Anolis sagrei: one gene and its partners. The protein of the gene in region 3 purifies or fractionates together with the protein of the main gene of each other region. This does not show direct contact. Links are inferred from orthologs where the notes say so. Each region holds a gene or a part of one and is shown on either strand. Other genes may lie near its edges.

Evidence for each region. Proteins that work in one complex are often made in the same cells at the same time.
Region 1: the proteins of POLR1D (region 3) and POLR1B purify together in Homo sapiens (affinity purification with mass spectrometry; 5 studies listed by BioGRID and IntAct, with this or other methods). This does not show direct contact. The link is inferred for Anolis sagrei from reciprocal best matches to the Homo sapiens genes POLR1D and POLR1B.
Region 2: the proteins of POLR1D (region 3) and POLR1F purify together in Homo sapiens (affinity purification with mass spectrometry; 3 studies listed by BioGRID and IntAct, counting the BioPlex papers as one, with this or other methods). This does not show direct contact. The link is inferred for Anolis sagrei from reciprocal best matches to the Homo sapiens genes POLR1D and POLR1F.
Region 4: the proteins of POLR1D (region 3) and POLR3K purify together in Homo sapiens (affinity purification with mass spectrometry; 3 studies listed by BioGRID and IntAct, with this or other methods). This does not show direct contact. The link is inferred for Anolis sagrei from reciprocal best matches to the Homo sapiens genes POLR1D and POLR3K.

Annotation. Positions count from the first base shown.
Region 1 is NC_090021.1:24,391,311-24,399,210, reverse strand, and holds the start of POLR1B (DNA-directed RNA polymerase I subunit RPA2), read right to left. Parts: upstream 3,335-7,900; 5' UTR 3,289-3,334; coding exon 3,112-3,288; intron 1-3,111. UniProt on the Homo sapiens protein: Catalytic core component of RNA polymerase I (Pol I), a DNA-dependent RNA polymerase which synthesizes ribosomal RNA precursors using the four ribonucleoside triphosphates as substrates.
Region 2 is NC_090026.1:94,694,298-94,702,587, forward strand, and holds the start of POLR1F (DNA-directed RNA polymerase I subunit RPA43), read left to right. Parts: upstream 1-4,956; 5' UTR 4,957-5,086; coding exon 5,087-5,319; intron 5,320-7,994; coding exon 7,995-8,136; intron 8,137-8,290. UniProt on the Homo sapiens protein: Component of RNA polymerase I (Pol I), a DNA-dependent RNA polymerase which synthesizes ribosomal RNA precursors using the four ribonucleoside triphosphates as substrates.
Region 3 is NC_090023.1:31,193,553-31,201,726, forward strand, and holds the start of POLR1D (protein POLR1D), read left to right. Parts: upstream 1-4,506; 5' UTR 4,507-4,663; coding exon 4,664-4,689; intron 4,690-8,174.
Region 4 is NC_090035.1:14,607,264-14,614,553, forward strand, and holds POLR3K (DNA-directed RNA polymerase III subunit RPC10), read right to left. Parts: upstream 2,338-7,290; coding exon 2,227-2,337; intron 2,135-2,226; coding exon 2,047-2,134; intron 1,285-2,046; coding exon 1,157-1,284; 3' UTR 835-1,156; downstream 1-834. Other genes in the region: general transcription factor 3C polypeptide 1, read left to right, coding at 32-268; SNRNP25 (U11/U12 small nuclear ribonucleoprotein 25 kDa protein), read left to right, coding at 2,389-2,499, 2,666-2,762, 5,553-5,658, 5,763-5,837, 6,078-6,132. UniProt on the Homo sapiens protein: Core component of RNA polymerase III (Pol III) which synthesizes small non-coding RNAs using the four ribonucleoside triphosphates as substrates. Can mediate Pol I proofreading of the nascent RNA transcript.

The sequences.
Region 1 (7,900 bases), on a different chromosome or scaffold from region 3:
AACAGCCTCAGGCCCTTTCCTTTTCCCCCTGAGTGCTTAAAACACACGGAGGGTCGAAGTTTGCCCATACCTGCTTTAAATAAAAATGGAGGGTATGCTGGAACATCTACCCAAAATTCCCCTGCAGGAATGCATTGCAGAGGAATCTCGGTGTGGCTGAGCAAGCAAGAACTCCAGATATAATTTTATTTATTTATTTACTTCATTTATATACCGCTTTTCTCAGCCCTCAGGCGACTCAACATACATTGCTCAACATACATTTTGGTGCCTCAAATGTTAGACCAGTTTCTGGGTATATCTGTCCTGTTGATTCTAAAAATGGCACCAATTTCCCCCTATTAGCTCTAGCTTTTGCGATACAGAACATGCCATCTGCCACTCTTCATCCGCTTGCCAAGAGAAAATAATGATGACCATATGTAAGAAACTAGAGCTCTCCAATTCAACTTTCTGAATCAGTGCCCCAAATAACTCCAGGAATATACCAACATATGTTTTGAAGTTGGAAGTTTGAAAAAAAAACCTGCAGAGAATGTTCTGTACGGTTCCGGTCCAGTGTATCTGTCCGAACGTATCTCCCTCTACGTCCCACCCCAGAGTCTGAGATCATCTGGGGAGGCCCTGCTCTCGACCCCACCGCTATCACAAGTGAGGCTGGTGGGGATGAGGAGCAGGGCCTTCTCGGTGATGGCCCCTCACCTGTGGAACTCGCTCCCGGGAGAAATTAGGGCATCAACATCCCTCCTCTCCTTCAAGAGGAAAGTAAAGACATGGTTGTGGGACCAGGCCTTTGGGCAATTTGACAACTAGATAAGGACAATCAAATGACTAGGACTGACAATGTGGAATTGGAATTTGGGCTATGAGATAGTGAACGCTGACCGTCTATGAGGAGTAATTAGGTTTGTATCGTTTTATTGGTTTTAGGGCTGTAATGCAGGAATTGTTTGACTGTTTCAACTGTTTAATTGATGTTATTTTGTTTTACTACTGTTATGTGATGTTGGCATCGAATTGTGCCTTTGTAAGCCGCCCTGAGTCCCCTTCGGGGTGAGAAGGGCGGGGTAGAAGAAACCGAAATAATAAATTGTGTAATCCTGTGTGATGGAATTTCCTATAGTGTATTTATTTATTTATTTATGACATTTCTATGCCACCCTTCTCACCCCGAAGGGGACTCAGAGCGACTTACAAGATATACATATACATACAATATATTAAATTATTAGTATAGTACAATGGCCATCTGTTGGGGATGCTTTGAACTGTTGGGGGTGCTTTGAACGCGATTTCCTGCTTCTTGGCAGGGGGTTGGACTGGATGGCCCACGAGGTCCCTTCCAACTCTATGATTCTAATATTCTAATCAGTAGATAAATAAAGTAAGACATTGATGTTGCAGTCATAAGAACAGGTCATCACATCTCTGGGTAGATTGTAAGAAATCTGGAAGGCCCAAGTTTGCCCAGGCCTGCTCTACACCGCCAGATAACCTGGGATAAGCAGATAATCCGGGATATTATTATTAACTTTATTTGTACCCCGTTAGTATCTCCCGAAGGACTCGATGCGGTTTACAAAGGCCAAGGCCACAAAACACAACACAAACAATATAACACCAAAAGCAAAATTAAAAACAGTAAAAGTAATATTAACGACATGCAATAGACAGTATATCATGACACAATAAAAACTGGGCCGGGCCAGAGTAATGGGTACAAGATTAAAAGTGCTGATGTGGCAGGTGGTATACGAGGATTATAGGGCAAGTGCAGTGTGCGGTGTGCAATAATCTTAATTCTACTAAAAGTGCTTCGAGGACTTGTTATTGGAGATTTCCTATTCTGGAAAGGCACATCGGAACAGCCAGGTCTTCAAGTTCTTTCTAAAGACTGCCAATGTAGGGGCCTGTCTAAGATCTTTTGGGAGGGTGTTCCAGAGTCGGGGGGGCCACCACAGAAAAGGCCCTGTCTCGTGTCCCCACCAGCCGCGCTTGTGACGCAGGCGGAATCACGAGCAGGGCCTCACCAGATGAACGAAGTGCACGCGTGGGTTCATAAATATAAAAGCTGTAAATAAATAAATAAATAAATGCGAATATATACACACACAAAACACACAGACTGGGCCACTGCACACATGCGCAGAACCACATATATAGACAAACACACATATATACACATATGCACAAATATATACACACACAAAACACATATACACAGACTGGGCCACAGCAACGCGTGGCAGGGAAGGGCTAGTAGATAAATAAAATAAGACATTGATGTTGCAGTTCTAAGGACATGTCATCATATCTCTGGATAGATTGTAAGAAAATTGTATTGTCGAAGGCTTTCATGGCTGGAATCACTAGGTTCTTGTGGGTTTTTTCGGGCTGTAGGGCCATGTTCTAGAGGCATTTCTCCTGACGTTTCGCCTGCATCTATGGCAAGCATCCTCAGAGGTACTGTGGTCTGTTGGAAATAGGAAAATGGGTTTATATATCTGTGGAATGGCTGGGATGGGGCAGTTTCAACAGAAAGGAAGAGACCATGAAAATGAACAAAATCTGGCTACCAGTATTAAAAAACTCTAAAATTACAACAGCAAAACAGCAGAGAGGAAACAACCAGGCACATCTTAACACCTCTCAACAAAAGATTTTCCCAGGCTCAGCCAGGCCTTCAAATGCTAATGAAGGTGGTCAGTTGAAACATTCACACCTAGCTCCAGCAGGGAAGAGCTCTTTGCCCCACCCCAGCCATTCCACAGATATATAAACCCATTTTCCTATTTCCAACAGACCTCACTACCTCTGAGGATGCTTGCCATAGATGCAGGCGAAACGTCAGGAGAAAATATGCCTCTAGAATATGGCTCTATAGCCCGAAAAAAACCCACAAGAACCTTGTAAGAAAATCATTTGAAGTGCAAAACACCTGGAAGGCCCAAGTTTGCCTAGGTCTGCTCTACACCGCCAGATAACCTGGGATAAGCAGATAATCCAGGATATAGGCCAGTGTAGGCCCAGCCTCAGTGGGGTTGGCAGCAACCTGCACCCACAGGCCAGGCCAGGCCTCCCTTTTTCCCCCCGTTCCTTCCTTCCTTTCACCTGCACGGCCCGGAGCAGCCCATCCCCGGTGGCGAAGTCGAAGGACTCCACGTGGGCCCGGGTGACATCCTGCAGGGCTTGCCGCTGCTTCTCTCGAGGAAGGCCGCGCTCCGGCGCCGTCAAGGGCTTCAAACTCGGGGCGCCGGGCAACCCTCGCCACTTGCACGCGGCCTCCATGCTTCGGACTCTCAGAGCCAAGCCAAGAACTCCAAGAGCCAATCAGGAACCGGAACAGCCAACCAGGAACTGTAACAGCCAATCAGGAACTCTGAGTCCATGCTTCGAACTCTTAACAGCCAATCAGCCTCCGCAGTTTCCACCTTCCCCGGTGCATAAACAGAACCGCCCACTCCCGGCATGCCGTGCGCTGATCACTTCCGGAAATCTCTTATCTGTATTGAGGGCTCTGTAGGCACTAGCTGCTTCCCTCACAAGAGAGGGAGGTGTGTGAGGGAGCTCACTTAGAATCATAGAGTTGGAAGAGACCTCATGGGCCATCCAGTCCAACCCCCTGCCAAGAAGTAGGAAAATCTCATTCAAAACACCCCCAATAGATGGCCATCCAGCCTCTGTTTAAAAGCTTCCAAAGAAGGAGCCTCTACCACACTCTGAGGCAGAGAGTTCCACTGCTGAACAGCTCTCACAGTCAGGAAGTTCTTCCTAATGTTCAGATGGAATCTCCTTTCTTGAAGTTTGAACTTACTTACTTAGGCGATCCCTCATAGCCCGAGGATGATGGACTTCCAAGTGTATTGTGAAAATCGCATTCAAAGCAGCCCCGACAGATGGCTATCCAGCCTCTGTTTAAAAGCTTCCAAAGAAGGAGCCTTCACCACACTCCGGGGCAGAGAGTTCCACTGTTGAACGGCTCTCACAGTCAGGAAGTTCTTCCTCATGTTCAGATGGAATCTCCTTTCTTGAAGTTTGAACTTACTTACTTAGGCGATCCCTCGTAGCCCGAGGATGATGGTCCTCCAAGTGTATTGTGAAAATCGCATTCAAAGCACCCCCGACAGATGGCCATCCAGCCCCTGTTTAAAAGCCTCCAAAGAAGGAGCCTCTACCACACTCTGAAGCAGAGAGTTCCACTGCTGAACAGCTCTCACAGTCAGGAAGTTCTTCCTAATGTTCAGATGGAATCTCCTTTCTTGAAGTTTGAACTTACTTACTTAGGCGATCCCTCGTAGCCCGAGGATGATGGACTTCCAAGTGTATTGTGAAAATCGCATTCAAAGCAGCCCCGACAGATGGCCATCCAGCCTCTGTTTCAAAGCTTCCAAAGAAGGAGCCTCTACCACACTCTGAGGCAGAGAGTTCTACTGCTGAACGGCTCTCACAGTCAGGAAGTTCTTCCTAATGTTCAGATGGAATCTCCTTTCTTGAAGTTTGAACTTACTTACTTAGGCGATCCCTCGTAGCCCGAGGATGATGGACTTCCAAGTGTATTGTGAAAATCGCATTCAAAGCAGCCCCGACAGATGGCCATCCAGCCTCTGTTTCAAAGCTTCCAAAGAAGGAGCCTCTACCACACTCTGAGGCAGAGAGTTCTACTGCTGAACGGCTCTCACAGTCAGGAAGTTCTTCCTAATGTTCAGATGGAATCTCCTTTCTTGATGTTTGAACTTATTTACTTAGGCGATCCCTCATAGCCCGAGGATGATGGCCCTCCAAGTGTAGTGTCTTGTTGGTGGTTCCATAGGTGACCATGGAGCCCTATTCCTGATCCACATGTTCTCCCACAGTGAGGACATCGGTTTCGAGGGAAGGCGTTGACTTGAAGCACCTTCCTCTTGGTACGTTTTTCCCTTTCGCCCTCCATTTGTGCCTCTTTGAATTCCGCATTACTGATGGTCACAGCTGACCTCCAGTTAGAGCGCTCAAGGGCCAGGGCTTCCCAGTTCTCTGTGTCTATGCCACAGTTTTTAAGGTTGGCTTTAAGCCCATCTTTAAATCTCTTTTCCTGTTCACCAACATTATGTTTCCCTTCTTGAGTTGGGAGTAGAGTAACTGCTTTAGGAGACAGTGATCATTGAACATCAAGAAAACCAACGTGCTCTTAATAATAATAATAATAATTACGATTGTGTTAAAACACAAAGTATGGATTGTTGATGTTGCAATCCCAGGTGACAGCCAGATTGAAGAGAAACAACTGGAAAAGCTGACACAATATGAGGATTTAAAAATCGAACTGCAAAGACTCTGGCACAAGGCAGCCAAGGTGGTCCCAGTGGTGATCGGCACACTGGGTGCAGTATCTAAAGACCTTGGCACACTGGGTGCAGTGCCTATTGGCCTGTACTTAAACACAATCAGCGCTGACAAAATTACCAGCTGCCAGCTGCAGAAGACCACCTTACTGGGATCTGTTTACAGAAATGCTGATTGTTTGAGAAATCAGTGCTGCAAAGAGGAAGTTACTTTTCAAGGATAACAGTACATCCGGACAAAACCGACTAGCTGGTGGCTAGTTTGAACCCCCAAGTTTCCCAGTCGCTCTGGAGCCATGTTTGCAACAGACTAACAGATAAGACTGATTTATTAAGACAGTCATGTTCTGAGAACAATAGACTATAGTTGGGCCATTGTTAGGATCCCACGTGTGCTATAATGTCAATCAAAATCATAAACCACCAATGAGCAACTGTACAGCTAGCTTAGACCCATGACATTATTTGTCTTTGGGAACCAATTAGAATATGTATGCTAAAAATGATAAAAGCTCTACAGCCCCATTGGGGGTTGCAACAAACCCTTTGATTGCATTCCTGAATGCATGTTTTGTCATTATTGCTATAGCCAAGCAATAAATAGTTTGTTTTTGTTTTTTGCAGTTTAAAGATTCAGCTTTTGTGAAGTCCTTCCTCGTCCTCCCCATATATATATTTTTTGCCCCTACAATTCGTGCAGTTGCTTCCAATTCTTCATGACCTCATGGACCAGGCCAGAGCTTAATAATAATAATAAAACTTTATTTATATACCGCTCTATCTCCCCAAGGGGACTCAATGGATGCTTAATGCACAATATTTCCAGAGTCTGCAGCCTGTGCCATTGTAAGGGTCCAAGAATTCAGCACCCTGGAGAGTTCTCCTCAATGGCCTCACTTAGGGTGCATCTGCACTATACATGGGCCAACTTGGGCCCTTCAGGTGTTTTTGGATTTCAACTCCCACAATTCCTAACAGCTGGCGGTGAGAGAACCAGATGAATGAGTGAGTAATAGTGAGAGGGCTACCCAGAACCATCTAAATGGCTACAAAGCTGTCACAGATAATATCTGGCCCCACTCATCAAGCTGGACACACTCTTGACCTTGTTTTTGTGGCGGACAACGAAATGATCAGAGTGGAAGATCAAAACATCCTTCCAGTGTCATGGTCTGACCATCACCTGATCACATTTAGACTTACTGCGACCCTAAACCTCCGCAGGGGTGGAGGACAAATTAAGATGGTCCGCCCTAGGAGACTGATGGATCCGGACGGATTCCTGAGGAATCTTAGGGTTCTTCCTGCCTTGGAGTCTGGCGATTCTATCGACGCCTTGGTAACTCTCTATAATGGGGAGATGGCCAGGGCGTTAGATACGATCGCACCTGAACGCCCCATCTCGTTGCGTCGTGACAGGCCATCTCCTTGGTTCACCGAGGAGCTGGCTGTGATGAAGCATACGAGAAGGGGGCTAGAGCGCAAATGGAGGAAATCTCGAGATGTGTCTGATCGAACACGGGCTAGAGCCTCTCTTAAGGCATACTCCGTGGCTATACGGGTGGCCAGGAAATCATTCACGACCGCTCGTATAGCATCTGCAGCAAATAGATCATCGGAGCTGTTTCGGGTCGTGGGAGAACTCCTCCACCCACCTGCGGTGGAGGAGGTCGCTGATGACCCTGCAGCTCGGTGTCGCGATTTCGCACACCATTTTGCAGGTAAAGTCGCCCAGATACGTCTTGAGCTCGACTCCAATTCCATCGCAGTGCCAGGAGAGGTGACGGAGGCACCTGCTTGTCCAACCTTGTGGGATTCTTTTAGGCTTGTTCTTCCTGAAACCGTGGAGGAGATTCTTGGGGCTGTGAGAGCGACCACCTCATCTCTTGACCCATGCCCATCTTGGCTCATTAAATCAGCCAGAGGGGGGTTGCTTGACTGGTTTGTACCGATTATCAATGCATCGTTGGAGCAAGGAATTTTTCCATCTAATTTGAAGCAGGCCGTGGTTCGCCCACTTATCAAAAAAGCTTCCCTTGACTCCACGGTGCTGAATAACTACAGGCCGATCTCCAACCTCCCCTTTTTGGGTAAAGTGCTGGAGAGGGTGGTCGCCTCTCAGCTCCAGGGTTTCCTAGTCGATACCAACTACCTAGATCAGTCACAGTCTGGTTTCAGGCCTGGTCATGGCACTGAGACAGCCTTGGTCGCCTTGGTGGATGACCTCCGCAGAGAGCTGGACAGGGGGAGTGTGACTCTGCTGGTTCTCTTGGACATCTCAGCGGCTTTCGATACCATCGATCATGGTATCCTTCTGGGTCGTCTCTCCAGGATGGGCCTTGGGGGCACGGTTCTGTCGTGGCTCCAGTCCTTCCTGGAGGGACGTACCCAGATGGTGAAGCTGGGAGACGCCTGCTCTGACCCCTGGCCTTTGTCCTGTGGGGTCCCGCAAGGCTCTATTTTGTCTCCCATGCTTTTTAACATCTACATGAAACCGCTGGGAGAGGTCATCCGGAGTTTTGGAGTTGGGTGCCATCTCTACGCAGATGACACACAACTCTACTACTCCTTTCCACCTA
Region 2 (8,290 bases), on a different chromosome or scaffold from region 3:
TGATAATTTTTATTTCTTACCTGACTCTCCCTATAGCTTGAGGTGGTCTCCCTGTGTATAAGTTGCATCGCATACACTGCGACAGAGACCTGTGGTGAATATTTACAAATTAAAACAATTTAAAATAATAAAAGCAATTTAAATAAACCAGATTCCTATCAATGAAGTTGACACATTAAAAAAGGTTAAGAAGGGTAAAGCAATTTCACAAGGAGTGGGGAGGGTTTACAAAAACACAAAGTCATCATATAATGTCTGCAGTAAACAAAGAAATGTGCTACCATTAGACAGCCTTGTTTCTCTTTTGTGCTACCGGATTTCTCTCTAAATCCAATAGGTCATAGGAGAGAACAACATTATCTGTTAATAATAGCCATATGTTTAGAATAAGAATGATTCATCTAGTGATGCAATCTGTGACTTCTTCTTAGAACACAAAATTGTTTTACATAATAAATATTTTACTTCCAGTTTTTTAGGGGGTGGGGGGAGTTGTGCCTTGGGTATAAACCATCTTGTGCTTGTGTGGAAAAATGCCCCCTTAATCAGTAGAAGGTATAAAAGCATATTTCCTGTAAATAAATCTGAATAAAATTGTGTATCAGCAGGGTATTCTTCATCTGGTGGTGGCCCATCCTTAACAGGGCAAAATTGCCTCTATCTCCATTCTGAAAGGAAGGAACACAGATCCTTGTTATGGCTTGACAAGGTACATTCTTCAAATGTAGCCAATGGTAGCAACCATTCCTCAAAAATAACGAGGGCAAAAACTGGTTAAGGGGGCTACAATTCAGTACATGGGGCCAAATCCTAATGCAAAATAATAATAATAATAATAATAATAATAATAATAATAATTTTAGATAAAGAATAATAAGGCTGACACTATACTTTGGAATATACTTGCCTTGGATCTCTAGATGTTTAGCCTACTTACACTTTTTAAGTAAGATTTGAAACATCAGCCCAATGGGTCTTCTCCAGGTGAGACACAAAGCTCAGATGGGATCTGAAACGGAGATTCAACAACAAACAACAACTTTGGCCAAAGAATGTACCGAGCCCCAGCACAGCTTCTGTCCAAGCTACTCGCAGCCGAGATAAAGTTTATTTCAAGTGTCAGTATTTTATAGAGTGATTTCTAAGGCATATGCGGTAATCCTTATCTGAGGTCTATGTGACCAGGACGGAATGTTTTTAGGATTTCTTGTTGGAGGACGTCTCAGGGTCTGGCACTGTATATAACCGTAACATCTGGGCACATAATATTGTGGTTACAGAATTACTTGCATAACACAAATGACAGATATTAGTAAACAATGCAGGCTATGGGAAGAGACAACTATTGTCAAAATGGAGGTGGCCAGCCTCCCTATAACATATCAACATACAGCGGAATCTTTAATCTCTATTTTACACCAATATCACCAGCCTTAATCAAGACAGCAGATTGTGAGAGATTTGGGGATATGTATTCCCAAAGAACTGAAAGGCAAAAGGTACCCCTTGCTCTAAAGTTAAATAATTTGGGGACACCATGAAAGCTTAAGGAAGAACTACTGGAAATGCCCAACACTAGAGTCTCAAAAGGTAATATGAAGAACAGCCAAAAACAAATGGAAAGGAATGCAAGTTTCTCTCAAAACTGTTTAGGTCGCAACAGCGAACACTGTTAAGATTAATAGGAGCAGTTAAGACCAAACTTTGCGCAAACATTTTGAATAATGATGTGTTTGTTTTCATATTAAACTTTGGGGAATGAATCCCTTTACACTATTTTACTTGGGTTAAACATTGCTTATATATTCAAAGCTCAATTGTGCCACCTGGTGACTACTTCCTAAATTTACTTTTATTATTCATTACCACTTTTGGTTTGCCTGTACATAAAACTAAATGTTTCTGATAGTGAGGCCTGTTCCACACAGCTGAATAAAATCCCACATTATCTGCTTTGAACTGAAATATTTGGCAGTATGGACTCAGATAACCCAGTTCAAAACAGATATTGTGGGATTTCCTGTCTTGATATTCTGGGTTATATGGCTGTGTGGAAGGGCCCTGAGACTCCATTTTTTCTAAGACTTTTTATAACCGCCTGGAATGCTTCTCCTCCTTGTCCTCTGTCCAGCTAGATACCTTTTAGGAGCACCAACATTAGGAGGATGCTGAAGAAGAGCTGGAGAAACATTGAGTTGCAAGAGCATGTCTGTAGTAAACAATGCAATGAAGCCTGAGCTGGAAAAAATAGAATAGTTCTCCCATTTCTACTATTGGAATTGTATGAGCTTGCCTACGACTGACAAGGTAAACACTAGTTGCTTCCAGAAGCCTTCACTTAAACATCAATGAATAGCAAAACATAGAGGAAAGAGGAAAGATAACCTTGAACCCATTTACACTGCCATAGCGTGCAGTTCAATTGTGTAGATTCATATAATGCAGTTTAACTCTATTATTGCATTATATGAGTTTACACTGACCATTCTGTGGTGGAAGTTCCTTCTTTGGAGGCTTTTAAACAGAGGCTGGATGGCCATATGTTGTGGGTGCTTTGATTGTGCTTTTTCTGCATGGCAGAATGGGGTTGGATTGGATGCCCATGAGGTCTCTTTGAACTCAGTGATTCTATGGCAATGTAGATCCAACTTCACCAACCCGTAGCCAGGATTTTGAATTTTTTTGGGGCGGGGGGGGGGGGGGGTGAGTCTGAGTGAAAGAGGGTTTACCCTAGCAAATCTTTTGTATTGTTACCCCAATACCTCCATGCATATGGGATATATTGAGCATGTACCAGTAAGGCCTTCTTGCAGACCACCATGAGAATTTCGGGGGGGTTGAAGCCCCCCCCCCCCCCGGCTACATGCCTGAGCCTCAGCAACTCCCAAAATGTACTAAAGACCATCAAAATAAAAATCATATTTTTATCATCTGTTTCCGGCACAATTCAAAGTGCTGGTTATGACCTTTAAAGTCCTAGACGGCTCAGGTCCAGGCTATTTGGCTGACCACATCCCTTTGTACAAACCTGCCCTGGCACTGAGATCTTCAGGAGAGGCCCTTCTCTTGGTCCCACCTCCATTCAAGCGCAGTTGGTGGGAACAAGAGTGAAGGCCTTCTCGGTGGCTGCGTCTCGACTCTGGAACTCCCTGCACAGGGAAGCCAGAATGGATCCCTCCCTGCTGTCCTTCAGGCCTCAGGTTAAAACCGTTTTATTCAGGCAGGCTTTTAAAGAGGAAGGGTTTTAAGCTCATCAGGGGCTGCTGTGATTTTGTATGCTTTTAATTATGTTTAATACTGTTTTAATACTTGTACATTTGTCTATTTTAAGTTGTATTGCAATGCTTTTAGTCGTGAACTGCTTTGAGTCTCCATATGGTGAGAAAAAGCAGGATATAAATAAGTATAAGAAAATAAAGACCATACACACAGCCATGTAACCCAGAATATCAAGGCAGAAAATCCCACAATATCTGCTTTGAACTGAGAGCCCTTCCAGACAGGCTCTATATCCCAGGATCTGATCCCAGATTTTCTGTTTTCTGGCAGTCCGGACTCATATAATCCAGTTTAAAGCAGAAAACCCGAGATCAGACCCTGGGATATAGGGCTTGTCTGGAAGGGCTATCTGAGCCCACACTGCCATATAACCCAGCAAAAAGCAGAAATGTGGGATTTTATTCAGCTGTGTGGAAGAGGCCTAAGAAGAAGAAAAGTGACTTTTGTGAAACTGCCTGGATGCCTTTTGGGTCTTGGAGATTCAAACTGTTTTGGCTGGATCTACACCGCCATATAATCCAGTTTCAGGATGCCAATTAACTGCATTGAACTGGATTTAGGCCTCTTCCACACAGCTGTATGAGGGGCTGAGTTTGATTCAAGGGGGGGGGGGGCTGAAGATCTACCCTTGCAAACCTTTTGTCTCGTTATACCAATAGCCCCATGCATATGGGATATATTGAGTATGGTGATCAGATCATGATATGAGTAAACATAACAGTTTAAATAATGTACCAGTAAGGCCTTCTCACGGAGCACCATGAAATTTTTTTTTGGGGGGGGGGGTGGCCTTTGGGAATTTCAGCCCCACTGCCTGCCATCTGTGCTGCCTCCGAAAAATCCTGCAAATCTCTTGGGAAGACAAGCGGACAAACGTCAGCGTGCTGGAAGAAGCAAAGACCACCAGCACCGAAGTGATGGCCCTTTGCCATCAACTCTGCTGGACTGGCCACGTTGTCCGGATGCCTGACCACCGTCTCCCAAAGCAGTTGCTCTACTCCGAACTCAAGAAGGGAAAACGGAATGTTGGAGGACAGGAAAAGATATTTAAAGATGGGCTCAAAGCCAACCTCAAAAACTCTGGCATAGACACTGAGAACTGGGAAGCCCTGGCCTTTGAGCGCTCCAGCTGGAGGTCAGCTGTGACCAGCAGTGCTGCAGAATTTGAAGAGGCACAATGGAGAGTGAAAGAGAGAAATGTGCCAAGAGGAAGGCGCGTCAAGCCAACCCCAAGTGAGACCGCCTTCCACCTGTAAACCAATGCCCTCACTGTGGGAGAAGATGGAGGTCAAGAATAGGGCTCCACAGTCACCTAGGGATCCACAAGAATACTGATCCTGGAAGACTATCCTACTCGTCCAAGGAGGGATCGCCTAAGTAAGTATTCTGGGTTATATGGCTGTGTGGAAGGGCCCTGAGAGTCTACTGTGTATACAAATAAAGATATTCCAAATCTGGGTGGAGGGAGGGGGAAAATCCCAAACACTTCTTGTCTGAAGCCTTTCAGATCAGGGATGTTTAAGGCGTATTTGAGATCTTTGCAACCTTCCACACAGCTATACCCTTTTCCTCCTAGAAGTGGGCGGAGCGAAAGGAGCCAAGCCACTCCCAAGATGGCGGCCGCATCACCCTCACCGGAAGAGAGGCAGAACCACTTCCGCTTAGGGCTGTCTCCCAGTCTGGAGGGAGGCCTGACGCTTGTGTCGACTGCGTCAGCGTCATCACAGGGCGACGGGAGGGAGCGCGAGAGGCGCCTCGTGCGGGGAAGGGGGAGTGATCCCCGAAGACATTCGTCGCAGAAGGCGCGATGGCGGCGGAGACAGACGACGAAGGCGCGGTCCCAGTTCCGGCGGCGCTTCCTCCCTTCGGCGCCCAGCTGCCCTCTTTCGAGGCGGCGCGGGCGCTGACGGAGAGTCGCTACTCCTGCCTGGTGGTCATGCCTCATCGGAGGCACGTCGCCCTCCCGCCGCGCTTCCTCCACCGGAAGCGGACTGGGATCTGCCTCCAGTTGGACGCCGAGCTGCGCCGCTTCTCCGAGAGGTCAGGGCCCGGGCGGCGCTGTCGTGGAGGCCTCTCTTAATCCCCACACAGAGGCCTCAAGGCTGGTCTTGGAAAATTTAAACACTTTATAGCAGGCAGAGGCAAACTTGGGCCCTCCAGGTGTTTTGGACTGCAACTCCCACCATTCCTAACAGCCTCAGGGGGAAAAGGAAAGGGCCTGAGGCTGTTAGGAATGGTGGGAGTTGCAGTCCAAAACACCCGGAGGGCCCAACTTTTCTCCTATCTGGCCTAAGTCCAATTTTTTAGATAAAGTTTCAGTGGAGGCACCTTTTTGCCATGATAACCCTTTCAGGAGTGAATTTTCCTTCCTAGGGGTACTTTTCCCTCACTGTTGTCTTGCCCCTGTTCTTAATTATGTTTGTAAGTTGGGGGCTGCTTGTATATCATTTAGTGCTTATATCACATAGACATTATTATTATTATTAACTTTATTTGTACCCCGCTAGCATCTCCCGAAGGACTCGATGCGGCTTACAAAGGCCAAGGCCTCAAAACACAACATAACAATACAACACCTAAAGCAAATTAAAAACAGTTAAAGCAATATTAAACAACAAGTGATAAATAATACATCAAGACACTATAAAACTGGGCCAGGCCAGAGTAATGTTTACAAGGTTAAAAGTGCTGATGTGACAGGTGATATGTAAGGATTGTAGGGCAAGTGCAGTGTGCGGTGTGCAGCAATCTTAGTTCTAATAAAGTGCTTCTGGGACTTGTTATTGGAGTTTCCTATTCTGGAAAGGCACGTCGGAACAGCCAGGTCTTCAAGTTCTTTCTAAAGACTGCCAATGTAGGGGCCTGTCTAAGATCTTTGGGGAGGGTGTTCCAGAGTTGGGGGGCCACCACAGAAAAGGCCCTGTCATGCGTCCCCACCAAACGCGCCTGTGACGCAGGTGGAATCACGAGCAGGGCCTCTCCGGATGAATATTTATAAAATACATGTTTATAAAAGACCCCATAGACTGGATCTAAATGCAGACAGTTCTACTTGGGGCTCTTCCACACAGCCGTATAACCCAGAATATCAAGGCACAAAATCTCCCACAATATCTGCTTTGAATTAGAATATCTGAGTCCACACTGCCATCTAGTCCAGTTCAAAGCAGATAATGTGGGATTTCCTGCCTTGATATTCTGAGTAATATGGCTGTGTGGGAAATTAAGTCATGAGTAGGACATTACCTTGAAAGCGACAGGTCTCGTCTGATCTTGGAAGCAAAGCATTGTCAGACCTAAGGGCCAGAGGTTTAGCACAGCTGGTAAATCACCAGCAATTATAGGATCTATCAACTGAAAGAGTGCAAGTTTGAAGCCCCAGGTCAGTGTGAGCTGCCGACGGTCAGCCTAGCTCATTGCTTACCTAAGCAATTCGAAAACAGCTTTAGCTGTAATTAGAGAAATTAGGTACCGCTAAAAGTGGTGGTGGTGGTGGTTATGACACCATAAAGAAGATCAGAAAATGTTGGCGACCAAAAAGGAAGGAGGAAGTTGTGACGGCTTTTCGTCTTAGAGGATAGAGCAACAGTATCCCTGGACTCCAGTCCAACCTTCCATGGCACCAAAAACAGCTGGACACTGCATCGAAACAAACCACCTCCTTCTGTTCTGACTGTGTATTGTCTGTACAGAGCAGCATTGAATGTTTGCCGTGTATATGTGCTGTCATCTGCCCAGAGTCCCCTTCGGGGTGAGAAGGATGCAATATAAATAAAGTGTTGTTGTTATTATTATTATTATTATTATTATTATTGCAAAGCCTAGAGAAGACAATTATGCTGGGGAAAGTAGAAGGTAAAAGGAAGAGGGGCCGACCAAGGGCAAGATAGATGGATGGCATCCTTGAAGTGACTGGACTGACCTTGAAGGAGCTGGGGGTGGTGACGGCCAACAGGGAGCTCTGGCGTGGGCTGGTCCATGAGGTCACGAAGAGTCGGAGACGACTGAACGAATGAACAACAACATTATTATTACATGGATATAGGCATATATTGACAGAAGATTTGAAGGCATGCACACACATAGGGACCATTGCGAAAGGTGATGATGGATGATGTGACTTGGAGAGATATATGGTATTGTATCACTTCTTTAGGAAAGATCCTCAAGGGTAGGACCCTTTAACTCATAGCTGAAATCGTCTCTATATCATTTTAAGTAATTCTGGTAAACAATGCTACTCATATGCTAATGAAGGTGGTCAGCTGAAACATTCACACCTAGCTTCAGCAGAGAGCTCTTTGCCCCACCCCAGTCATTCCACAGATATATGAACCCATTTTCCTATTTCCAACAGACCTCACTACCTCTGAGGATGCTTGCCATAGATGCAGGCGAAACGTCAGGAGAAATGCCTCTAGAACATGGCCCTATAGCCCAAAAGAACCTACAAGAACCCAATGCTACTCATATCTGAACTTTTTTCCCCTTATAAACTCCACAGCTAGGTCTCTCTGTAGTTACATATGCGCGCACACACATACATGAATTCTGTAATCAAAAGTACCTGTTCTTGTTTCTACATGACACTCAGAAGAGGGCCAGGCAATCTTATCTGTGCAAACATTCTGTAAATAGGATTTGATCTCTTTTACTCTGGAAATCATTCATTGTTTTTCAGTGTATGTGTTGATAGCTTTCTTTATTTCTTGCAGTTTCCAAGGTGTCCCTGTGGCGTATGATGATATCAAAATAACCAAAGAACTGGGAGATATAATAGATGACATTGGGGCTATCCATCTGGACATTGAAGCAAGTTTTGTAGTCTTTCAGCCTCAAGCTGGAAGAAAACTTGTGGTATGTAGACAAAGAAAAAATATATTTCTAATGAGTATAATACAGCATCTCCATTGATGAGTACAACTACACTGAAAAATCTAATCACTGAGTGCTTGAAGTTAACTGATTTACTATTGTGTGTGATAGCTAAGCCTTTTTAAAGCAGGCTTTA
Region 3 (8,174 bases):
TTCAGGTGGTTTTAGCTTGGTTGGTATAGTTGACCTCGCTGGCGTTATTGGCTGCATATTTTAATTAATTATTTCATATGAAAGTTACTGTTGTTTATATAATTTATGTGTGATGTTGGCTATGTTGGATTGTTTTCCACATGCAACACTTTGAAAAACAAGCCCTGGAAACAACAACAAAAACGCCCACTATGTGGTTCAGATATGTGAATGACACCTTCACCACTTGGAGCCATGGAGAAGAAGAACTAAACAGGTTCCTGGACCACCTTAACAGCATCCACCGAAACATCCAATTCATCATGGAAAAAGAAAATGAAGGAAAACTGCCTTTTCTAGATGTTCTCGTCATCCGCAAACCAGATCAACAATTGGTTCACAGAGTTTATAGAACACACGGATAGATACCTACATAAAAATTCCGATCATTACCCAAGTAAAAAAAAGAAGCACCATTAAAGCCCTGGCAGACTGTGCAAAAAGAATCTGCGAAAACCATCTCCTCCAAGACGAACAGAACCACCTAAACTGGGGTTTACAGGCCAATGGATACTCCACCACAGACATCAGAAGACCAAGAACAAGGCACGAGAGTAAAGGCAAAGATCCACCCAAAGGAACTATACATCAAGGGAACCACTGACCGCATAGGGAACCTGGTGAGAAAACACAAACTATCTACAGACCTACTAAGAAAATCCAACAAGTGCTACATTCAACAAAGGACAAAAGGGATCCTCTCACCTCTGCAGGAATCTACCGTATACCATGCAGATGTGGACAAGTGTACATAGGGACCACGAAATGCAGTGCCCAAACACAAATCAAGGAACATGAAAGGCACTACAAGCTAATTCGACCTGAGAAGTCAGCCACAGCAGAGCACCTGATGATCTAACCTGGACATAGCATATTATTTGAGAACACAGAAATGTTGGACCCCTAGTTGTTCAATGACACAGAGAAGTCATTGAAATCCACGAGCATGTGGACAATTTCAACAGAAAGGAAGAAACCATGAAAATGAACAAAATATGGCTACCGGTATTAAAAAAAAACTCTAAAATTATAACAGTAAATAAAGAACAACACACAAACACAGGGGAACTCCAGACAAGAAACAATCAGGAATCACCTCTCAATAAAGGATTCCCCCCAGGCAATAACAAGTCACATCTAAAAAAAATCCTGTTAGGCCATCAAATGCCAATCAAGGTGGCCAATTGAAACATTCACACCTAGCTCCAACAGCCAGGGATTCTTTCTCCCACCCTGGACATTACAGATATATAAATTCAATTTTCCTAGTTTACAACAGACCTCACAACCTCTGAAGATGCCTGCCATAGATGCAGGCGAAACATCAGGAGAGAATGCTTCTAGAACATGGCCATACAGCCCGAAAAACCTACAACAACCCAGTGATTCCAGCCAATAAATCCTTTGACAACACACTGCCAACACACTTTGACAACACTTTGACAACACACTTGGGGCGGGGGAGGGGGCAGGGGACTTCCATCTTGTCTCCTGCATATGTCATCAGTTGGGGACCCCTTCCCCCAGCGCTGACTGCTGCTCGGGGTCAAAGTGAGGAGAGAGGGGGCCAGGGGACAGTTCCATCTTGTCTCCTGCATGTCATCATTTGGGGACCCCTCGCCCAAGCACCGGCTGCCACTCTGGGTCAAAGTGAGGAGGGGGGGGCAGAGGACAGTTCCACCTTGTCTCCTCCTGCATATTCATCAGTTGGGGACCCCTCCCCCCAGCTCCAACTGCCGCTCTGGGCCAGAGTGAAGAGAGAGGGAGCCAGGGGACAGTTCCACCTTGTCTCCTGTGCTATGCTAATAATATAATATAATGTAATGTAATATATTGTATATACATATATTTATAATATTATAATGAACTGCAATATAATACTAATAATATAATTATATATTTATATTACATGTAATATTACTAATTATATTACAATATATTATAGCATAGTACAATATAGTAATATATAATACTGACATTGTACTATGCTAATAATATATTGTATGTATATATATCTTGTAAGCTGCTCTGCAGCCCCTTTGGGGTGAGAAGGGCGGCATATAAATAAAGTTTAAATAAATAAATCTTTTGTGAATCTGCCCTGAGTCCCCCCGGGGATAAAGACTGGAATATAAATAAAGTTTTTTATTATTGTTGTTATTGATATTATTGTTATTAAATTAAAAATTAAAATGTCCAAATCACAAATAGGAATGGTGGGACTCAGTTCTTGTGGGTTTTTTCGGGCTATATGGCCATGTTGTAGAGGCATTTCTCCTGACGTTTCGCCTGCATCTATGGCAAGCATCCTCAGAGGTGAGGTCTGCTGGAACTGGGAAAAAAGGGGGTTTATATATCTGTGGAATGATCAGGGTGAGACAAAGGGCTTTTGTAAGTTGGGCTAGGTGTGAATCTTTCAACTGACCACCTGATTAGCATACAATGGGCTGACTGTGCCTGGAGCAAACTCTTCTTGAAAGGTGATTAGATGTCCCTGCCTGTTTTTCTCTCTGCTGTTTTTGCTGTTGCAATTTTAGAATTTTTTAATACTGGTAGCCAGATTTTGTTCATTTTCATGGTTTCTTCCTTTCTGTTGAAATTGTCCACATGTTTGTGGATTTCAATGGCTTCTCTGTGTGGTCTGACATGGTGGTTGTGAGAGTGGTCCAGCATTTTTGTGTTCTCAAAATGCTGTGTCCAGGTTGGTTCATCAGGTGCTCTGCTATGGCTGATTTCTCTGGTTGGAGTAGTCTGCAGTGCCTTTCATGTTCCTGGATTCTTGTTTGGGCGCTGCGTTTGGTGGTCCCTATGTAGACTTGTCCACAGCTGTATGTTGTGTTTCCTCATCAGCTTCCCTATGCGGTCAGTGGTTCCCTTGATGTATGGCAGGAACACTTTTCCTCTGGGTGGATCTTCATCTTTACTCTCGTGGCTTGTTCTTGGTCTTGCAGCTCTTCTGATGTCTGAGGCGGAGTATCCATTGGCCTGGAGAGCCCAGTTGAGGTGGTTCAGTTCATCTTGGAGGAGGTGGGGTTCACAGATTCTTTTTGCACGGTCTGCCAAGGCTTTAATGGTGCTTCTTTTTTGACTTGGGTGATGGTTGGAGTTTTTATGTAGATATCTATCTGTGTGTCTGGGTTTTCTGTAAACGGTGTGACCCAATTGTTGATCTGGTTTACGGATGACTAGGATATCTAGAAAAGGCAGTCTTCCTTCGTTTTCTTTTTCCATAGTGAACTGGATGTTCGGGTGGATGCTGTTAAGATGTTGGGAGTTGGAGGAATGGTGGGAGTTGAAGTTCAAAAACACCTGGAGGGCTCAAGTTTGCCCAGGCCTGGTATATAGGAATTTTAATTATGTTGAAACCTGCCTTCAAGAGGTGAGGCAGGCAACACATAAATAATAATAATGACGATAATAATAATAATAATAATAATGCGTTGTTGTTGTTGTCACTCTCCCAGTGGAGATGACTCTATGACTCTAAGACGACACCAAATTGGGAGGGATAGCCAATAGTCCAGAGGACAGGAGCAGAATTCAAAACGATCTTGACAGATTAGAGAGATGGGCCAAAACTAACAAAATGAAGTTCAACAGTGACAAATGCAAGATACTCCACTTTGGCAGAAAAAATGAAATGCAAAGATACAGAATGGGTGACACCTGGCTCGAGAGCAGTACGTGTGAAAAAGATCTTGGAGTCCTCGTGGAGAACAAGTTAAACATGAGCCAACAATGTGATGTGGCGGCAAAAAAAGCCAATGGGATTTTGGCCTGCATCAATAGGAGCATAGTGTCTAGATCTAGGGAAGTAATGCTACCCCTCTATTCTGCTTTGGTTAGACCACATCTGGAATATTGTGTCCAATTCTGGGCACCACAATTCAAGAGAGATATTGACAAGCTGGAATGTGTCCAGAGGAGGGCGACTAAAATGATCAAGGGTCTGGAGAACAAGCCCTATGAGGAGCGGCTTAGGGAACTGGGCATGTTTAGCCTGAAGAAGAGAAGGCTGAGAGGAGATATGATAGCCATGTATAAATATGTGAGAGGAAGCCACAGGGAGGAGGGAGCAAGCTTGTTTTCTGCTTCCTTGGAGACTAGGACGCAATGGAACAATGGCTTCAAACTACAAGAGAGGAGATTCCATCTGAACATTAGGAAGAACTTCCTGACTGTGAGAGCCCTTCAGCAGTGGAACTCTCTGCCCGGAAGTGTGGTGGAGGCTCCTTCTTTGGAAGGTTTTAAGCAGAGGCTGGATGGCCATTTGTCAGGGGTGATTTGAATGCAATATTCCTGCTTCTTGGCAGGGGGTTGGACTGGATGGCCCATGAGGTCTCTTCCAACTCTGTGATTCTATGATTCAGGCTTGTGGGCCCAGACAGGAACTTCAGGCGCAGGCAGCGCTGGGGGCGGGGCTTCTTCTGCCAAGAGGCCCCGCCCCTTTCCGGGGTCCTCGCGAGCGGCTGTTTGGCCTCGTCGCGAGCTCCGCCTCCCATTGGCTGCTGCGTCGCAGGAAGCAGCGAGAAAGAGAGCCATGATGGCGGCGGCCTGAGAGAGCGAGCGAGCGAGCGAGCGAGAGTGAGAGTGAACGGAGACCCCTCAGCCCGCAACCGCCGCCATGGCGGAAGACGCAGAGCTGGAGAGGTGGGTGAGGCCTGCGCGGAGGAAGGGGCAGGCCTGGCGGTTGCTGCTCCCTTGGCAGCCGAGGGATTTGGCCTTGACTGGGAACGCCAAGAAGGTCCTACTAGAGGCTTCCCAGCGGCCTTTAGTCGCCCGATCTTTAGGGCCTCGGTATCTTAAAGGGACCGCACCCCATTATTATGACTATTGCAGTATATTTATCCCATCAGGTCTTGGAAGCTAAGCAGGGTCTGACCACTTGCGAATGGTAGGTGCTGTTTCAGGAGGAAGGGATTCACACAACTATGAAGGTGTATCTAGAATGAGTGCGGTTTGACATCTCTTTAACTGCCAGGGAATCATAGGGGTTATAGTTTGCTGAGGTCCTAAGACAGTGGTTCTCAACCTGGGGGTCGGGACCCTGGAGGGGTCACTAAAGATCACCAGAAAACACAGTATTTTCTGTTGGTCATGGTGGTTCTATGTGGGAAGTTTGGCCCAATTCTGTCATTGGTGGGCTTCAGAATGCTCTTTGATTGCAGGTGAACTATAAATCCCAGCAACTACAACTCCCAAGATATCAAGGTCTATTTTCCCCAAATTCCACCAGTATTCACATCTGAGCATCTTGAGTATTCGTGCCAAGTTTAGTCCAGATCCCTCATTGTTTGAGTCCACAGTGCTCTCTGGATGTAGGCAAACTACAACTCCAAAACTCAAGTCAATGCCCACCAAAATCCTTCCAGTATTTTCTGTTGGTCACGGGAATTCTGTGTGCCAAGTTTGGATCAATTCCATCATTGGTGGAGTTCAGAATGCTCTTTGATTGTAGGTGAACTATAAATCCCAGCACCTACAACTCCCAAATGTCAAGGTCTATTTTCTCCGAAGTCCACAAGTGTTCACATTTAGGCATACTGAGTATTCTTGCCAAGTTTAGTCCAGATCCATCATTGTTTGAGTCCACAGTGCTCTCTGGATGTAGACGAACTACAACTCCAAAACTCAAGGTCAATGCCCACCAAACCCTTCCAGTATTTTCTGTTGGTCATGGGAGTTCTGTGTGCCAAGTAGAGTTCAGAATGCTCTTTTATTGCAAGTGAACTATAAATCCCAGCAACTACATCTCCCAAATGACAAAATCAACCGCCCAACCCCACCAGTTTTCAAATATGGGCGTATCGGGTATTTGTGCCAAATTTGGTCCAGTGAATGAAAATACACCCTGTGTATCAGATATTTACATGACGATTCATAACAGCAGCAAAATGACAGTTATGAAGTAGGAAGGAAAATAATTTTATGGTTGGGAGTCACCACCACATGAGGAACTGTATTAAGGGGTCGCGGCATGAGGAAGGTTGAGAACCACTGTCCTAAGAACTCTTTGGCAAAGAAGACCATGCAAAACCACAATAATAATAATAATAATAATATGATGATGATGATGATGATGATGTTGCAATCCCAGGTGACAGGATTGAAGAGAAACAACTGGAATAGCAGAAACTATATGAGGATTTAAAGATCGAACTGCAAAGACTCTTGCACAAGCCAGTAAAGGTGGTCCCAGTAGTGATCGGCACACTGGGTGCAGTGCCTAAAGACCTTATAATAATAATAATAATAATAATAACAATAACAATAACAATAATAACAATAATAAACTGGGGACTCGGGGCGGGTTACATGAGGCCAAGCCCAACAACATATTACAATAAAGTAAAACCAAAATACAATAATAACACAGTAAAATACATACAACATATGAGTTCAAAGACAATAAAGCAAAATCATACACCGTAAAATAAAATAACATAACAATGAGTGGGCCGCATGTGCAAGATAAAAACTTGATACTAAAAATACTAAAATCAGGATGAGATAGGGATAGAGTAGATTGTTCGTGGGGGAGAAACTTGTAAAGGAACAGGGTCATAAATATAGACCTTCATTCAGGTGTGGAAATATACTCTGGGGACAAAAACCATTGAGGGGAAGCAACTGTGTATGATAATATGGCTACTCTCCAAAAGCGCATTGGAAAAACCAGGTTTTGAGATCCTCCTTGAAAATTTCCTAATCTCACCGGGCAATGAGTTCCAGAGTCAGGGGGCCACAGAGGAGAAGGCTCTCGCCTTTGTACTTACAAGATGAGCCTGAGATAATTGCCTGGCCTGCGCTTAAATACTATTGGCGCTGACAAAATTACCATCTGCCAGCTGCAGAAGGCCACCTTACTGGGATCTGCACGCATTGTTCGCTGATACATCACACAGTCCTAGACACTTGGGAAGTGTCCGACATGTGATCCAATACAACAGCCGACAGAGTGATCTTGTTGTGTTTCAAATAATAATAATAATAATAATAATAATAATAATAATATAATGAACTTTATTTATACCCTGCCACCATCTCCCCAAAGGGGACTCAGGGTGGCTAACAAGTGGCCAAGCCCAAGAATTACAATCAAGCAAAATAAAATACAAACAAGCAAATAATAACAACAAAATAAAATGCAAAACAATAACAAAATATGCAATAAAACAATGCAAAATAAAATGGTAGAAAAATTAGCGCACAGTGGACGGGCCAAATTCAAAGGGTAAAATTTATAAAACCCTGGGTGAGATGGATAAATGGAGTAATGTGTCTGAAGGGAGACTCAGAAGGGGTGATCGCATTGAGCCATGGCAGTGTCAAACTGCATTAACTCAGTAGTGAAGATGATGATGATGATTATATATCTTTATTTTTGTCCTGCTTTTCTCCCTAATGGGACCCAAAGTAGCTCACAGCGTAGGTAAAGGTTTCCCCCTGACATTAAATCTAGTCATGTCCGACTCTGTGGTGTGATGTTCATCTCCATGTCTAAGCCAAAGATCCAGCATTGACTGTAGATGCCTCCAAGGCCATGTGGTTGGCATGACTGCATGGAGCGCCATTACCTTCCTGCCGGAGCGGTACCTATTGATCTACTCACATTTGCATGCTTTCAAACTGCTAGGTTGGCAGAAGCTGGGGCTAAGAGGGGGAGCTCATCCCGCTCCATGGATTCGAACTGCCGACCTTTTGGTCAGCAAGTTCAGCAGCTCAGCAATTTAACCTGCTGCACCACTGGGGGCTCAACATAATATAATGCAAATCACATTTAAGATAAAATACAAGACAAAAATCACACAAAGCATAATAATGGCCAGAAATAAGATAGAAATATATATTAAGCATATATATTAACCAATTACAGTTATTGTAGAGACTCATCAGTTAAATAGTATATTTTCACAATCAACCTTGCTGTCTTTAGCAATTGAATTCATTCATCAAAAGGTTGCTTGGACAGGTAGGTTTCCAACGGGTTCTTGAAAAATAACAGGGCAGGAGCAGTTTTAATCTCAATGGCGAGAGAGTTCCAAAGGATCAAGGTGGTTACCGAGAAGGCCCTGTCTCATTGCCAACAACCATATTTGTGACGGCGGTGGCAATGAGAGAAGACTCTCTCAAGA
Region 4 (7,290 bases), on a different chromosome or scaffold from region 3:
GCTTTCTCCCCCTCCCTCCCTCTCTCTGCAGGGACTGGAGTCACTGGGCTGCATCCGGAGGCGCTGCCTGGCCCCCCAGCGGCCGGTCTCCCTCTTCTCGGCCCCTGCCCCAGAGGAGGAGAATCCCCCATGGGCTCCCCGCAGGCTGAGCGAAGAGGAGGAAGAGGCCCCCTTTTATGAACCCTGCCTGGAAGCTGCCCTCAAGATGGGGAGAGTATTCCCCTACGAGACCAACTGGAACAAATGGGGCTCGGCTGGGGGGCCCTGATCCCTTGGAAGCCACCTCCTATTTTGTAAATAAAGCAAGAGTGTCTCTTTTACAGAGTCCCTTCTCCTATAATGTTGCTGTGGCATCAAGTGTCAATACCTGGTGAATATTTGCTTTTTATGTTTGGAATTCACCCTAAGTCCCTTCAGGGAGATAGGGTGGAATATAAATACTTAGGCCATCCCTCATAGCTCGAGGATGATAGTCTTCCAGATGTGGTGTCTTTATATAAATAAAGATGATACTGACACAATATTTTGTTTATATTCTGCCCTATCTCCCCAGAGGGACTCAGGGCAGATTCCAAACATAAAAGGCAAATATTCAATGCCCGAACACAACAACAATACACCCATAGTGTATAAATAAAGATTATTGTTGTTATTATTATTATTTCCTGTGTTGAGCATGCTGCAGCCCCCATCCCAGCCTCAGGCCCTCAAAGCCCCAAATTCCTCAGCCCGGAGCAATAGTTCCCAAACTTTATTTGACTAGGGACCACTTTGACTAGGGACCACTCTCCAACATTAGTACCAAAAGGGTTACGAATCAGTTTTTGGTCAACATTAGGTTCGGTTTGTTTATTTGGGGTGCTGATTCAGATAATTGCATTGGATAGACCACATCAGCTCTAATTTCTGATACAGAACGTATGCCATCCAGTAGTCGCCATCTGCTTGCTCACAGAAAACCATATTTAATAAGTATCGGCACTATAAGAGGGTTTCACGACCATTAGCTCTCATTGCAATGTTGCAGTAACAGTGAGGCCGTGGAACATATTTTAGTTCTTGCGAACCACTGGTGGTCCACGGAACACAGGTTAGGAACCACTGGCTTAGAGGTAGGAAGGGTTGGAGGCCCTGGCCCCACCTGAACCCTGCGCCCTCAGTCCCGCCATCGGTGCCCACATTGGGGACTGCAGCACTTGTAGAAGGTTGTCATGGGTTCGTCGGCAGAGCGCGTCTGGAGCTGCATGAAGAAGGCGCGCGGGTGCTCACACTTGGGACAGGGCTCTGTGGGGCAAGGAAGGAATTATTGTAAATATAAAATTATATTATTATTATTATTATTAGAAATACAATAAGATGAGTCCACAGCAAATACTCTGCTGGCTGTTTTATTGGATCACACGTCGACACTTCCCAAGTGTCCAGGACTGTGTGATGTATCAGCGAATAATGCGTGCAGATCCAAGTAGGGTGGCCTTTTGCAGCTGGCAGATGGTAATTTTGTCAGCCCAATTGTGTTTAAGTACAGGCCAAGGTCTTTAAGCACTGCACCCAGTGTGCCGATCACCATTGGGACCACCTTGACTGGTTTGTGCCAGAGTCTTTGCAGTTCTATTATTATTATTAATTGGGTTGTTGTAGGTTTTTTTGGGCTATATGTCCATTTTCTAGAAGCATTTTCTCCTGATGTTTCACCTGCATCTATGGCAAGCATCCTCAGAGGTAGGGTGGCTTTTTTACAGCTGGCAGATAGTAATTTTGTCAGCACCGATTGTGTTTAAGTGCAGGCCAAGGTCTTAGGCACTGCACCCAGTGTGCCGATCACTGAGACCACCTGGATTTGCTTGTACCAGAGTTTAATCTTTAAATCATATTGTGTCAGCTTTTCCAGTTGTTCCTCTTCAATCATTAATATCTTATCCTTATTATTATCATTATTAATGGAGCCAATGGTGGCACAGTGGGTTAAACCACTGAGCTACTAAACTTGCTAACCCTAGCCCCGCCCCCTCGCTCTCCCAGGCCCCGCCCCTTTCGGTGACGCACCTGCCGTGGAGTCCACGTTCTCCCAGGCCGCGGCCCCGCCCAGCACGTCGTCCACTTCCTTCAGCTTCGGGTAGCGCCGGCTTGTTACCTAGCAACGGAAAGAGGGGGGGAAAGGTGAGCGAAGGCCGAGGAGGAGGAGGGAGGGAAGGAGAGAGGGAGCGGCCCCGCCCCTTGACGTGCCTTGCGCGTGACGTTGCGGACGTAGGGGCACGTAGTGCAGGCGAAGCGGTGGCAGCGCGGCCCCTCTTCGGCCACCAGGACGTTCCCGCAGGCCGGGCAGAACAGCAGCATCCTCTCTCCTCACCTTCCGTTTCCGCTCTCCCCTCACAAACCGGAAGCGTGATGGAGGAGGAAGAGGAGGAGGAGGAAGCACACGCGGACGTGCTGGAGCTCTGGCAGGAAGGACTCGCCCGACTGGTCCAGGACCCGCTGCTCTGTGACCTCCCAGTTCAGGTGGGCTGGGCACTGGGCGGGAGGCGTGGCCTACAGAGAAGGGGGCGGGGCATTGTTTGTGGGCAACATAGAAGGGGCGGAGCCTGATAATAAAGGGGCGGGGCATACGATGAAGGGCGGGACATGGGCCTGTCATTCACCCGCTCCCTCTCTCCCTATCTCCCAGGTGACCCCCGAGGAGATCAGCTCGCAAGTGGCGCTGGAGTACGGGCAAGCCATGACAGTGCGCGTGCGCAGAGCCGACGCCCCCGAGGCACCAATGCGTAAGTGCCAGGAGAGGCGTGGGCGGGGCCTAGTGGCCCAAATAGTGAGGCGCCTCTGTGGGCGGGGCTCAGAGGCGTGGGCGGGGCCTCAGAGGCGTGGGCGGGGTCTAATCGCCCAAATAGTGGGGCCCCTCTGTGGGCGGGGCCTAGGGGCGTGGGCAGGGCCTCAGAGGCGTGGGCGGGGTCTAATGGCCCAAATAGTAATGCCCTCTGTGGGCGGGGCCTAGAGGCGTGGACGGGGCCTCAGGGGTGTGGGCGAGGCCTAGTGGACCAAATAGTGACGCCCTCTGTGGGCGGGGCCTAGAGGCGTGGGCGGGGCCTAGAGGCGTGGGCGGGGTCTAGTGGCCCAAATAGTGAAGCCCTCTGTGGGCGGGGGTCTAGATGTGTGTCCGGGGCCTCAGTGGCGTGGGCGGGGTCTAATGGCCCAAATAGTAATGCCCTCTGTGGGCGGGGCCTAGAGGCGTGGGCGGGGCCTCAGAGGCGTGGGCGGGGTCTAATGGCCCAAATGGTGAGGCCCTCTGTGGGCGGGGCCTAGTGGCCCAAATAGTGAGGCGCCTCTCCTGCTCTCTCCTCCTTCCCTCCTATAACATACTACTACTGTTATTATTATATATTTAATATATTTTATATGTAATATTACTAATATTATTACAATATAATGGTATAGTACAATTTCTCCTGACGTTTCGCCCACATCTATGGCAAGCATCCTCAGAGGTGGGGAGGTCTGTTGGAAAACTAGGAAAATGGGGATTATATATCTGTGGAATAATGCCCAGGGTGGGAGAAAAAACTCTTGTCTGTTTCAGGCAGGTGGGAAGGTTGCAATTGGCCACCTTGATTAGCATTTAATGGCCGTGCAGTTTCAAGGTCTGGCTGCTTACTGCCTGAAACAGACAAGAGTTTTTTCTCCCGACCCTGAGCCCTTGTTTTATTGATATTGTTTTAACTTGTTATTAGAGCTGTCGGCAGTGCAATGGGTTAAACCAGGGGTCCTCAGACTAACGCCAGGGAGCCAGATACGGCCCTCCAAGGTTATTTACCTGGCTCTCGCTCAGGGTCAACCTCAGTCTGAAACGTGTTGAAAGCACACAATAACAACAGCAATCCTATCTCATCAGCCAAAAGCAGGCCCACACTTCCCATTGAAGTCCCCCCAGGGCTGGGTGAGAAAGGCAGTATATAAATACTGTAAATAAAAATAAATTTTAATACGAATAAGATTACATTTGTTAAAATTGTTCTTCATTTTAATTACTGTATTGTTTTTAAGTGTTTTTTGCACTACAAATAAGATATGTTCATTGTGCGTAGGAATTCATTCATGTTCTTGAGTGGAACTCTCTGCCCCGGAGTGTGGTGGAGGCTCCTTCTTGGAAGCTTTTAAACAGAGGCTGGATGGCCATCTGTCAGGGGTGCTTTGAATGCAATATTCCTGCTTCTTGGCAGGGGGTTGGACCGGATGGCCCATGAGGTCTCTTCCAACTCTTTGATTCTATGATTCTATGAAATTATAATCCGGCCCGCCAACAGTTTGAGGGACTTTGACCTGGCCCTAAGATTTAAAAAGTTTGAGGACCTCTGGGTTAAACCCTTGTGCTAGCAGGATTGCTGACCGAAAGGTCGGTGGATCGAATCCAGGGAGTGGTGTGAGCTCCCGTCTGTCAGCTCCAGCTTCCCATGCAGGGACATGAAAGAACCTTCCCACAAGATGATAAAACATTTGGGCAACGTCCTTGTAGACGGCCTATTCTCTCACACCAGAAGCGACTTGCAGTTCCTCAAGTCATTGCTGGCATATATATATATATATTACTAGCTGTCCCCTGCCACTCGTTGCTGTGGCCCAGTCTGTTGATCTGGAAAATGGCCTTGGATGGCCTTAAGTATTTTCTGTTGGTCATGGGGGTTCTGTATGGGAAGTTTGGCCCGATTCTGTCATTTGTGGGGTTCCGAATGCTCTTTGATTATAGGTGAACTGTGAATCCCAGTGACTACAACTCCCAAATGTCAAGGTCTATTTTCCCCAAACTCCACCAGTGTTCACATTTGGGCATACTGAATATTTGTTCCAAGTTTGGTCCAGATCCATCATTGTTTGGGTCCACAGTGATCTCTGGATGTAGGTGAACTACAACTCCCAAACTCAAGGTCAATGCCCACCAAACCCTTCCAGTATTTTCTGTTGGTCACGGGAATTCTGTGTGCCAAGTTTGGTTCAATTCCATCGTTGATGAAGTTCAGAATGTTCTTTGATTGTAGGTGAACTATAAATCCCAGCAAATACAACTCCCAAATGACAAAATCATAATTTTTGAGTGACGGTCACTCCTTGTGTTGTGAGATGTTTTGTTGCCAAATTTGGTGGATTTCGTTCATTGATTGTTTTGTTTTTAAGGTACTCATTATGCACAGAGCATTTATATTATTATTATTATTATTATTATTATTATTGCTTCTGTTTTGATTTGTATGATTGTTGAATGTGTTGTATTGTCTTCTTGAATTTGTTGTATTTTTTATGGCATTGAACTGCCTTGTTTGTTGTGAGCCGCCCTGAGTCCCCTTGGGGAGATAGGGTGGGATAGAAATAAAGTTTTACTCACTTATCAGTTTTACTTACTTTACACACTGTATCATTCATATGTAATTACTGTATGTATTCTCGTTTGTTGGGGCATCTAATTGTGCTGGCTATAAGCCGCCCTGAGTCCTCCTACGGGGGTTGAGAAGGGCGGGGTACAAGTGTTTGAAATAAATAAATACTAAATACTCCCTCTCTCCTTTCAGCGGTGGTGGTGGTGCAGAATGCCAGCATCCTGGACCTGAAGAGGGCCCTCCGGCGGTTTGTGCAGCTGCGGCAGGAGCGTGAGGGGGGCATCCAGCACATCAGCTGGTGGGTCCTGCTTCCGTGGGGCAGGAGAGGGGAGGGGGCAAGGTCAGGCAGAGCCAGCTCCACCCCTCCTCCTTGTCCTTAAGCCTCTCCTCCCTACCTGACAGGAAATACCTGTGGCGCACCTACTGCCTGACCTTCGGTGGAGAGAAGCTGACAGACGACCGGAAGAAGCTGAGAGAGTGAGTCTGTGGTGCCCTGGTACCCCTTGTGGATCCCATGCCCATACTCTGGCCTGCTTGCAGTGGGACCAGGCTCAGCCAGGTGGGGGGCAGGTGTGCTACGTGCTGAGGAAGGAGGTGCCCGAGGCTTCTGGCTGCAGTCCTTCACCCCCTTTGCCTTGCCACCCTCTTTGTGGGCCTTTCTGAGGGCCTGAGTCCCTGGGAGAGGAGGAGTCCTAATGTGCACAACGTTTTCCCCAGGTATGGCATCCGCAACCGGGATGAAGTCACCTTTGTGAAAAAGATCCGGAAGTGAGTCCCCAGGCAAGCCTCTGCATGGCCTTGAAGGGAAAGAGGCCCTCTTGGGAACTATAGGAGCATCCGAGGGGAGGCTTCCCATGAGCCCCTGAAGCCCAGGTACTAACCAGGGGACCAGAGGCACCTGCCTGCCTGCCTTTCTCCGTTTGGAGGGCAGGGCCAGGTCCCTCTCCCTGAACGGGGCTGGGAGCCTTCCTGACCAGTGCTGGCCAGAGGGTGGGTGCAAGGGATTAAGCATCATCTGTTGGATTTGTAATAAAGCTTGAGTAGTAACTGCTTGTTTACACTTTTATACAGAATCCCAAGTTGTTGTAGAGGGTTAGGGTGGTCGCAGAAAGCCAAGCTGAGAAGGAAGCCCCAATTCTATGACTGCTAAGAATGTTGCTTTGGGTCAAGCGTAGCTCTGTGGGCTTTGGCCAGCGCTCCCCCCATAGAAGACCAAGGCTATGCTAAGCCCCTCCCACCAGGAAGTCCCCTCAACACATGCTCTTTCAATCAGTAACCCAGTAGCACTTGGGGAGGTGTTTTCATAGTGAAGGAGCTCCCAGTGGTGCAATGGGTTAAACCCTTGTGCTGGCAGGACTGAAGACTGACAGGTTGCAGGTTTGAATCTGGGGAGAGCGTGGATGAGCTCCCTCTGTCAGCTCCAGCTCTCCATACAGGGACATGAGAGAAGCCTGGACACAAATATAGTCATTTTGAGGATTATTAGTATTATTGTACTTCAAGGAGCCCCCGGTGGCGTAATAGGTTAAACCAGTGGTTCTCAACCTGTGGGTCCCCAGGTGTTTTGGCCTACCATTCCCAGAAATCGCAGCAAGTTTACCAGCTGTGAGGATTTCTGGGAGTTGAAGGGCAAAACATCTGGGGACCCACAGGTTGAGAACCAGTGGGTTAAACCCTTGTGTCAGCAGGACTGAAGACCGACAGGTCGCAAGTTCAAATCTGGGGAGAGCGGATGAGCTCCCTCTGTCAGCTCCAGCTCTCCACGCAGGTACATGAGAGAAGCCTGGACACAAAGGTAGCCGTTTTGAGGATTATTGGTATTATTGTACTGCAAGGAGCCCCCGGTGGCACAATGGGTTAAACCCTTGTGTTGGCAGGACTGAAGACTGACAGGTCAGAGATCCGAATTTGGGGAGAGCGTGGACGAGCT